Arabidopsis thaliana: one gene and its partner. The protein of the gene in region 1 purifies or fractionates together with the protein of each later gene. This does not show direct contact. Each region holds a gene or a part of one and is shown in the gene's direction. Other genes may lie near its edges.

Evidence for each region.
Region 2: the proteins of AT4G18670 (region 1) and HON5 fractionate together in Arabidopsis thaliana (co-fractionation; one large-scale study listed by BioGRID). This does not show direct contact.

What each region holds. Positions count from the first base shown.
Region 1 is NC_003075.7:10,274,822-10,280,766, reverse strand, and holds AT4G18670 (Leucine-rich repeat (LRR) family protein), read left to right. Parts: upstream 1-1,972; 5' UTR 1,973-2,275; coding exon 2,276-4,849; 3' UTR 4,850-5,305; downstream 5,306-5,945. UniProt on the Arabidopsis thaliana protein: Modulates cell morphogenesis by regulating cell wall formation and assembly, and/or growth polarization.
Region 2 is NC_003070.9:17,972,921-17,978,740, reverse strand, and holds HON5 (high mobility group A5), read left to right. Parts: upstream 1-2,077; 5' UTR 2,078-2,439; coding exon 2,440-2,679; intron 2,680-2,764; coding exon 2,765-3,658; intron 3,659-4,194; coding exon 4,195-4,269; intron 4,270-4,362; coding exon 4,363-4,593; 3' UTR 4,594-5,099; downstream 5,100-5,820.

The sequences.
Region 1 (5,945 bases):
TGTTATCGCTCTTGGTTTGTAGATATTTGAGTTTATATGTAAACGGACAAAACGCAGATGAATAATACTAGTGCCTGACAAAATTATTTTGGACATACTTCACTTTGAAAAATGAAATAATATCTTCTTTTCTGAATCATACAAGTACATCTAAAATTTTACAGAAAAACAATCAAAATAAAACAAAACAAATTATGTTGGCAAGAAAAACCCATAAATTTAAGTTGGTAAAAAATAATATCTAAGTCGTGCAAAAAAAAAAACCCATAAATTTCATATGAAACGTATAAACTAGTAGTATTTTAGTAACTCGACAGTGAAAAAAATAACTCAAATAAACAAAAACAAATCATGGTATAAGAAAAAAACTTGTCTGTATTCATAGACAAAGAGTAAGCGTCGCTAGACTTGTTGGAGCTTTTGTTATTCCTTATGTGTATAAGACGACAACAGCAAAAGCTTAGGCATGCATCATGTCGGTAGTGGTACTCTACTACTACGTCTCACTCTCGTATACACATTAAGACACCTAACATGATCTCTTCTCTACTTAGACAATATTACAAAAAGATTATCTACTATACGTACCTCAAACTCACGTACTCACATCAACAAGTGGTTAAGTTTGACTTCCCGGCTCCGCCTCTTGCGGCGGTTGCATCCTCCCCACGTGCACACCCACGCCTTTCTCTAACTCTTCCCCACTCTTGCAACGACAAGTTTAATCTTTACTCGGCGAGCAAATACTATGCCGCTTGAACCGGCGTAACAACACCCACGATCTTCCTAAGTGTCTCAAACCTCAGCTTATCAGCTTACTAGTATCCAATCTATAAATGTAAACACTTTAACTTGTTATGATTTATCGTAAATCATTTATGAATCAAGAAAACCAAATTTATATGCGTCTACAACTCTACATGAACTGGAACATCTGATTGATAACACATTATAGTTCATATTTTCATATTTGCAAGCAAAGGTATAAGAAGAGGATGGAACAAAATATAAAAAATGAATTGAATCACTCGCCATAAAATAATATACTTGGCACATTATTTATGTTTTTTGCCAAACATTTGGCACAATTTATAAATTTATAAATTACAAAGACTGAAGCAAACCATTATTCCATATATACAAAAAAAACTTAGCATTTAAATTTATATTATAGACAATCGCAATAACATCAAGGGTAAATATAAACATTATTTCATATTCTGTCGATCCAATATATATAGAGAAATATAAAGGTATATTATTACTGTGGGTCATGTCGTTTTAAGACAATTCCGACATAAGAACAGTTAACTGTTGAACTTTATTTATGTTTTGGACTAGTGAGTAGTGACACCTCAAAAGAAAAAAATGAATACACGTGAGTTACGAGTTTCAACTAATTCATTTAACTTACTGTTTGACATGATAGCTGTAAAATACAAAGCACAGCAACATTTTCATTTTATGGGCTTTAACAACATTGATAATCCATGTCAAGCGAGAGATAACGATAATTGAGTTCATTTAGATTCAAATTTCTTTTAAATGAGAACTTTTAACAATGGAGCTCTTTTTTTTTGGCTTCGGTTAGATATTCTGATTCAAATTGTACACAAGCATCATTATGGATATGCTTATATTAAAAACCGTGTGATGGCCTATTAGTAACAAGTAGTATTTACCAAACTTTGATCAAAAAATTATTAGTAGATATAAATGTTTTCCAATGCAACTAATCGTTGTATTGGAATAGTTCATGATGCAAACAAAATTATTAACAAGTCTTTACCAAAATTTAATCCAAATGTATGGCTAATCACAAAAGGTTTCCAATATCAGCAAGTAATAATTAATAGTTGAAATGATGCTAAACAAAATTAACTACCTAATGCCTAGAGCAATGTAAATTGTCTCTAATCAAAACTTTAGTGTTGACCAAAATCATTAAACAATTATAATTTGTAACGTATATAATCAATCATGTGATTAGTTCAAAAAAGAAACCAAAAAGTCGATCATACATTTATATAATTGTTAGGTAATTCATGGACACACATCAATTAATTAACATTACACTTTTGACAGTGTAAAACAGACAGTGTTATAATAAGTGAAGAGTATATGAATAGGGCTGAGCTGTGCAAAGACCTGTCTCTCTCTCACTTATAATTCCCTCTTCACACATTACTTCTTCACTTATAGAGATTCTCACTTACATTTCCCATTTTACCCTTCTTCTTCCTTCAAATCCACTGATGTCTTGTTATGTGAAGTAATGAAGACGAAGATGATGATGAAGAACACGTCTCTGATCTTTGTTCTTCTTTTTATCACCTTCTTCTTCACAAGTATCTCTTACTCTCTTTCACTTACTTTCAATGGAGATCTCTCCGACAATGAAGTCCGGCTAATCACACAACGTCAACTTCTCTACTTCCGCGACGAGTTCGGCGACCGCGGCGAGAATGTCGACGTTGACCCATCTCTAGTCTTCGAGAATCCACGACTTCGAAATGCTTACATAGCTCTTCAAGCTTGGAAACAAGCTATTCTCTCTGATCCAAACAACTTCACAACAAACTGGATCGGTTCTGATGTTTGCAGTTACACCGGCGTTTACTGTGCTCCGGCTTTAGATAACCGCCGGATCCGTACCGTCGCCGGAATAGATCTAAACCACGCTGACATTGCTGGTTATCTACCTCAAGAGCTTGGTTTGTTAACAGATCTCGCTTTGTTTCATATTAATTCAAACCGGTTTTGTGGAACCGTACCGCATCGGTTTAACCGTCTTAAGCTTTTATTCGAGCTTGATCTCAGTAATAACCGGTTCGCCGGAATATTCCCTACTGTTGTCCTTCAGTTACCGTCGTTGAAGTTTCTGGATCTAAGGTTTAACGAATTCGAAGGACCTGTACCAAGAGAGCTCTTCAGCAAAGATCTTGATGCGATTTTTATCAACCATAACCGGTTCCGGTTTGAGTTACCGGATAATTTGGGAGATTCTCCGGTTTCCGTTATTGTTGTGGCGAATAATCATTTCCACGGTTGTATTCCGACGAGTTTGGGTGATATGAGGAATCTTGAAGAGATCATCTTCATGGAAAATGGGTTTAATTCTTGTTTACCGTCGCAGATCGGACGGTTGAAAAACGTAACGGTATTTGATTTCAGTTTTAACGAACTTGTTGGGTCGTTACCGGCGAGTATTGGCGGGATGGTTTCGATGGAGCAGTTAAATGTGGCGCATAATAGATTCTCTGGTAAGATTCCGGCGACTATTTGTCAGTTGCCGAGGTTGGAGAATTTCACTTTCAGTTATAATTTCTTCACTGGAGAGCCGCCGGTTTGTCTTGGGTTGCCTGGGTTTGATGATCGGCGGAATTGTTTGCCGGCGAGACCTGCGCAGAGATCACCAGGGCAATGTGCGGCTTTCTCTTCTCTTCCGCCGGTGGATTGTGGTTCCTTTGGATGTGGTCGTTCTACTCGGCCTCCAGTTGTTGTCCCATCACCGCCTACAACTCCGTCTCCGGGTGGTTCTCCTCCTTCGCCTTCTATTTCTCCTAGTCCACCGATCACTGTCCCGTCACCGCCGACAACTCCATCTCCTGGTGGTTCTCCTCCTTCACCGTCTATTGTCCCGTCTCCTCCTTCAACTACGCCATCTCCTGGTTCTCCTCCTACATCGCCGACGACACCTACTCCTGGTGGTTCTCCTCCATCATCGCCGACGACACCAACTCCTGGTGGTTCTCCTCCATCATCGCCGACGACACCTACTCCTGGTGGTTCTCCTCCATCATCGCCGACAACACCTTCTCCCGGTGGTTCTCCTCCTTCACCGTCTATTTCTCCTAGTCCTCCGATCACTGTCCCGTCTCCTCCGTCAACCCCAACATCTCCTGGTTCTCCTCCTTCGCCATCTAGTCCAACTCCGAGCTCTCCTATTCCTAGTCCTCCTACGCCATCAACTCCGCCAACTCCGATATCACCTGGTCAAAATTCACCGCCTATTATTCCTAGTCCACCGTTCACCGGCCCTTCTCCGCCGTCGTCACCTAGTCCTCCTTTACCGCCTGTTATTCCTAGTCCTCCCATTGTAGGCCCGACTCCATCGTCTCCTCCGCCGTCAACACCTACTCCGGTTTACTCTCCTCCCCCGCCGTCTACAGGGTACCCTCCTCCCCCGCCGTTTACAGGGTACTCTCCTCCATCCCCACCACCTCCTCCTCCCCCAACTTTCTCACCTTCCCCATCAATACCTCCACCACCGCCTCAGACATATTCTCCCTTCCCGCCACCGCCACCTCCTCCGCCGCAAACATACTATCCACCGCAACCATCTCCATCACAACCCCCGCAATCTCCAATTTACGGCACTCCCCCTCCTTCCCCTATACCTTACTTGCCGTCACCGCCTCAATTTGCATCCCCACCACCACCAGCCCCTTACTACTACAGCTCACCACAACCACCGCCGCCGCCACATTACTCATTACCACCACCAACCCCTACTTATCACTATATATCCCCACCACCTCCACCAACGCCAATACACTCCCCTCCGCCACAATCACATCCACCGTGCATAGAATACTCACCACCTCCACCTCCAACAGTCCATTATAATCCTCCACCACCACCATCACCGGCGCACTACAGTCCTCCGCCTTCACCACCAGTTTACTACTACAATTCACCTCCACCTCCACCGGCTGTCCACTACAGCCCACCACCTCCACCGGTAATACACCACAGCCAACCACCACCACCTCCAATCTACGAAGGGCCACTACCGCCGATTCCCGGAATATCATACGCATCTCCTCCGCCGCCTCCCTTCTATTGATTCTTTTTCAGAATGTTCTCAAAAGGGGCCCACCACTTATGCCAAAACCCGAAAACGAAACGGTGTCGTGTCGTGTCAATAACACTTATCCGATTGATAGAAACATGTAACACGGCGTCGTTTGACCATTTCTTGGAGAGAGATGTACGTGTTGGTGGTTGGGTATTCTCCGAAAGATTTATTTCGGTGAACAAAATTTTAAAAAGAAGAAAATTAGGCGTTTTTCAGGGAAAAGTTGTATAAATAGATTAATTAAAATATGGAGCAACCTCATATTTATGCTCCTTATATTTCTTATTAGTGTTCTTAAATAATTATCATTGTTTTTTTTATTAAACTTTATCATTGTTACTTCATTTTTTGTGTTTTTTCTTTCTGGTTATCTTTTTCTTCTCATATATGAAATTATCTTTTTTGTATTTCCTTATTTAATTACTGCAACTTTTTGCCTATGTTAGCGTCTTTTAGTTTTATATTTTTGATATATCAGAAACTCCAAATAAACTATATGTATATTATTTTTTTGTTCTCAATTATTCTGGTTCATGCACGAGACTTGTGTGTGAGAGACTGTGAGTGTGAAATCGGTATAAAGTAAGAAAAAGAAACATAATTGAATCCGGTCCAGCATGAAATGCATAGTTTTGGATGAAGCAAAGCCAAGTAGGGCCAATGTCACATGTGCCCAGCACCACCTGACTGACTACTTTGCTGTTGGAATTTATATCGGATCCTTGATTGCCGCTTTCATTTTTATTATTTTAATTTTTATATTATTGTAGTACTATATGTTTGTAATTTAGCTTTAGATTTGTACTTCGTAAATAATTAGGAAATTGTTTATACAAAAATATTCTTATATAAAATCGGTATTTGAAAGGAAAAATGGGTGAAATTTTGAATTTTGGCTTTTAAACTGTGTTGGGGATGTGAGAACTGAAAACTGTCCTTTTTTTTTTGGTAGTGATGTGAGAACTGTCCTTGCCTGCCGACAAAGTCACGATAGAGAAACATTATGCGTGAAATGTTTCATTTTTATTTACTTTACCATTCGTGTTGAAATCATAAGCTACTCTATTTTTCTTGTTTAAAGTTG
Region 2 (5,820 bases), on another chromosome or scaffold:
ATGTCCAAAGATAAAAATCATCGGGTTTAGACTATTTTATGTAGTGAAGAGATCGTTGCTCTTTGTGATATTGACGGTGATGGAAAGATAACGGCCAAAGAGTTCCATTTGAAGATGACCCGGATTGGGAATACTTATAGGAGTTCTGATACATATAATGATGGTTATTGAGTTTGAGGAATTTAAGGCTAATATTGTTTAGTTACTTATTAAAAGGTAATATACTTGTTCACCAAGTAGTGTCTTGCTTATATTCATTGTTTAGAGGTTTCTCAACTTGCTATCAATGATACATTCGGCCCAAATTTTTGTGTTGTGGTGGACCTGGTTGCATTTGTTGACTTTAGTCAGCTTGGGCATTTATCCATTTGTGGACATCATTGTTACATTGTAGACCTATGAGATTGATAATATTTATGGTTAAACATTATTATATCGTTTTTCAATTTCCAGATGCGCCAAACCATCCCAAAAGGTAGAAGTCGGATATATGTAACAGAATGATTTGGAGTTATTGAGATTTGGACTTAAGATCATTCGTTAGGCTGAATAGAGCAGTCCATAGAATCCCTGAACATCTCCAATTAGCGTAATCTCAAGTGAAGAATAGAGACTTGGCCCTTTAGATGTCATGCTTATTCTGCACAAACTCAAATAATTCGTTTGTTTTCTTCCAAATTGCTCTAGTAAACTCAAATATTTGTTTCCTCCTCCAATTTTTGTTATCTCTAGGATTCTATGAATATGCGTTTTATTCAAATATTATTAAGAATGTCTCATAGTTAACCTTTTGAGTTGAACACTTATAATAATTGGCACACACATATATATATATATATATATATATATACTGTAACCAGTAGTTTTTGTTTTGCAACTTTGCAAAAACACAAATAATCATCGGCGAATAAGAAATGATTAACCGTAGGAACAGACTGAGCGATGCGTATGCTCTCGATGCCACCATTTGTTTCAACTTTGATGATCAGTTGACTTAAAATCTCTGCACATAGAATAAAAATATATGAAGACAAATCATCGCTTTTGTCGAATTCTCCATGAAAGCTTCCAATTTTCATAGGAAGTGCCATTTACGAGGACATAGTATGAGATGGTGTTAATGTTCATCATAATCCAAATAAATGTTAAAACATTAAGAATATGAAAAAATGATTTGTTATAAATGTAGATAATGAAATTATAAATCTTATTCTAGAAAAATTTTAAATATAAAAAATGAAAACTTTTTTGAAAACTTTCAAAATTAGATAAGAAAATTGTTTATATATAATTTATTATGGTACATGAATAGAGAATTAGAATAACAAAACAAAAAGTTGAAAGAAACACAAAATGAAAAGGCTATACAAGAGAATTTAAATCAGCCATGACGAGAGAGTAACCCAATTAGACTATGGTGATTTAAATCTAAACTTTTTATTTTAGAAAGTTTATATTAAAGAATATAAATTTGAATGTTTGTGGTGTGAAAAAATTCAACTTACCTTTATTGGTTATGTATATATGGATTGAAAAATGAATAAGGAGTTCAAATATATTTTCTGAGCTTAATTTTTTTAAATCATATTAGTGTCATTTTGCGTAGTTTAACAAAGAATCTCGATGAAAATTTAGCGTTGTAAATTTATTTCGTTAAGCAACTTAACGAAGTGTCTTATTTCAAAAAGTCAATAAAATTAGCTATTAAAAATTTAAAACAAAAAGTGAATTAAAATTTGAGTTTTATTTTACCTAAAACAGTATTAACGTGTTTATAATAGCACTTTTTAACTGTTGGAGATTTTCTTTTTCTTTTTTTTGAATTAGAGTGAGATAGTGATCAAGAAAATGAAGAAGGTGTTAGTGCACATCATATAATCCAAGTAAATGTTAAAACATAAAGAATATGAAAAACTGATTGGTTAGAAATATACATTTTTTTTTGTAAACCGATATTAAGTAGAGAATTTAGTATAAAAAATCTTGTTCTAGAAATTTATTAGTATAAAGAAATGAAAGCATGTTTAAAAACTTTCAGAATTAGAAAAAAAATGTTTACATATAGTTTAATATGGTACTTGAATAGAGAAGCAGAAAAACATATAAAAAAAATTGAAAGAAACACAAAACTCAATTTTAATAACAAAAGCAAAAAACGCCACGTCATCGATCCGTGTCGTAAATCAGCACCAAAATACACTTTCAACGGTCAGATTTTAACTATCTCATCTGTCGTCATTTTCGATCTCTCTCTTACACTACTACACACACTCTCTCTCCTCCAACCTAACTATTTTTTATTTTTTATCTTCTCCTTCCACAAAACTTTTTTAATTTTATCTGAAAAATTAAAACAACCGAAACAAAAAAAAAAAACTAAAAATCAAAAATCTCATCACCTTCCTTGCTCTGTATTTTTTCTCTCTCACTAAATCCTCCATGGATCCTTCTCTCTCTGCAACCAATGATCCTCATCATCCTCCTCCTCCTCAGTTCACATCTTTCCCTCCTTTCACCAACACCAACCCCTTCGCCTCTCCAAACCACCCCTTCTTCACCGGACCCACCGCCGTCGCGCCGCCAAACAACATCCATCTCTATCAAGCAGCTCCTCCGCAGCAGCCACAAACATCTCCAGTTCCTCCTCATCCATCTATTTCCCACCCTCCTTACTCTGACGTAAGCTCTTCTTAGCTCATTCTTACATTTTGACTTTAAAGTTAGGGTTTTTAATTTCCACTCACTTTTTTTTTTCGTTGATTAGATGATTTGCACGGCGATTGCAGCGTTAAACGAACCAGATGGGTCAAGCAAGCAAGCTATTTCGAGGTACATAGAGAGAATTTACACTGGGATTCCTACTGCTCATGGAGCTTTGTTGACACACCATCTCAAGACTTTGAAGACCAGTGGGATTCTTGTCATGGTTAAGAAATCTTACAAGCTTGCTTCTACTCCTCCTCCTCCTCCTCCTACTAGTGTAGCTCCTAGTCTTGAACCTCCCAGATCTGATTTCATAGTCAACGAGAACCAACCTTTACCTGATCCGGTTTTGGCTTCTTCTACTCCTCAGACTATTAAACGTGGTCGTGGTCGACCTCCAAAAGCTAAACCAGATGTTGTTCAACCTCAACCTCTGACTAATGGAAAACTCACCTGGGAACAGAGTGAATTACCTGTCTCTCGACCAGAGGAGATACAGATACAGCCGCCACAGTTACCGTTACAGCCACAGCAGCCGGTTAAGAGACCGCCGGGTCGTCCTAGAAAAGATGGAACTTCGCCGACGGTGAAGCCAGCTGCTTCTGTTTCCGGTGGTGTGGAGACTGTGAAACGAAGAGGTAGACCTCCGAGTGGAAGAGCTGCTGGGAGGGAGAGAAAGCCTATAGTAGTCTCAGCTCCAGCTTCAGTGTTCCCGTATGTTGCTAATGGTGGTGTTAGACGCCGAGGGAGACCAAAGAGAGTTGACGCTGGTGGTGCTTCCTCTGTTGCTCCACCACCACCACCACCAACTAACGTAGAGAGTGGAGGAGAGGAGGTTGCAGTCAAGAAACGAGGAAGAGGACGGCCTCCTAAGATTGGAGGTGTTATCAGGAAGCCTATGAAGCCGATGAGAAGCTTTGCTCGTACTGGAAAACCCGTAGGAAGACCCAGAAAGGTAAAATATCATTCCTTTTTGTCTCTGCGATTACACAGTGATTATAGAGAACTTGAATATTTCTAGTCAAATAGATAAGAGAATAAAAGTTGGAACTTTTGTCTTGTGAATAAATGTCACTTTCCATTCTCAACATTGTCTCTTTCGAGCGTGTGTGTGGAGACTAGAGAGTATCTAACTAAATAAATTCTAGAGTTTAATTTATATTCGTGTCTCTGCTTTTGGCCTATACTTAATCTGGTTTTGTGGTGTACTATTAATCTAAGATATCTCTTTGTTTGGTAATCAAGAGCAACTTGGTAGGTGGCTCGCTTTAGCAACCAATAATTGTTCAGTTGAAGTGTGAGAATTACATATGAACTTATCTTTTGAGACAGACATCTTATCAAGTTTTGTCTGTTTTAAGCAGAAATTTAGTTAATTCAGTCAAAGTTCAAGAGTTTGTGTATTTCCAAGTCCACTAGAATTTCTTTGTCTATTATATTGATGAGTTAGTTATCTAATTACATTTATATTATTGCCATTTATAAACATAGAATGCGGTGTCAGTGGGAGCTTCTGGACGACAAGATGGTGACTATGGAGAACTGAAGAAGAAGTTTGAGTTGTTTGTAAGTAATCTAATGAACAGAAACACAATATGGTCCGTCCTTGGTTTTGATACTTAATTGCTTATGCTTGGTTTTGATATCTCATTTATGCAGCAAGCGAGAGCTAAGGATATTGTAATTGTGTTGAAATCCGAGATAGGAGGAAGTGGAAATCAAGCAGTGGTTCAAGCCATACAGGACCTGGAAGGGATAGCAGAGACAACAAACGAGCCAAAGCACATGGAAGAAGTGCAGCTGCCAGACGAGGAACACCTTGAAACCGAACCAGAAGCAGAGGGTCAAGGACAGACAGAAGCAGAGGCAATGCAAGAAGCTCTGTTCTAAAGATAAAGCCTTGACATAAAAAGCTAGCAAGTGGTGGGTTTACTTGTTGTGTGTTACATGAAATTTTTAATCTTATAAGGGTGTTTGCAGGAGAAAAACAAAAAGAACAATGTGATGAACTGATGATGATGATTGTGTCTCTAACCAAACAACAAGGAGAGGTAGGGTAATGTCTGTAAAGTGAATTAGGATGTTACCATTGTTCATGCTTCCCATCTCTCTCCATCGTCCATATCTGTGTAGGCAGCTTTGTTCTTTGTTCCCTCGTGTTTTTTTTAGACTGTTGTGTCTCTTATTCTATTTTGTCTCCTTAGGCTTTTTAGGAGTTGTTGTTGATGTTTATCAAAAACGCTTATGTAATTTTTATGACCACTTCTACTTTTTATGATGGTTTCTTCAAGTCTCTTACGTTATGTAGTTAGAAAACCATTAAATAAAAGTTGCTTATGTCAGTTGCTCTGTTTTAATTTGAAATCCGGTTTTAATTTTAAGTGTACTTATTGCAGAAATTAGGTAGAAGGTATAGAACGGTTTTACTCTTCACTCACACACCATTTAACCAAATTTCTAAATTTATTACTCGATAAACACTTTTTTAACAAGTTTTCAATACTTTTCTCCAAAAAAATTTTGAATTTGAAATAAAGTAGTGTATTTTTCGATTTTGGTTTTATAAATCAACTTTTTTTTTTGAAAAAGTTAAAAAGAAATCACCACCACATTTGCATGTTATACTATAATACCAAAAAATTAATATTCGTGATTTATTTTAAAAATCTGTGAATTAAAAAGAAAAATGAAATGTTGATAAATAAAAATAAAAACAAGGAGTAAAGGTGGACCCATATCGGTTGACGCAACTGATTCTGAACCTCTCGGTCGTTCGTTTCTACTCTTTCCAAGCTCTAGCCCATGGTGGTGACCTTCTTCTTCTAACCGCGAAAACCATCTCTATCTCTCTTATCTTTCTTCTCCGCCAAGTTTCTCTTTGTAATTTCTTTCTTCTTCCTCCAGATTCTTCAAGCTTCCTTTACCATCTCGCGAATCCTTCTATTAAGTTGAACAAGGTACGTACATTGCGATTTGCGAACCCTAGTTTTTCTCAAAACGAAATCTCTACGCGTGAGAGCCTGAATCTGTGTTTTACAGTCTTCGTTTCTAGATTCTAGGTTTGTGACATTTGAAATTTCGTTAAGGTTTTAGCGAAATCGAGTTTCTGGTTGTTTA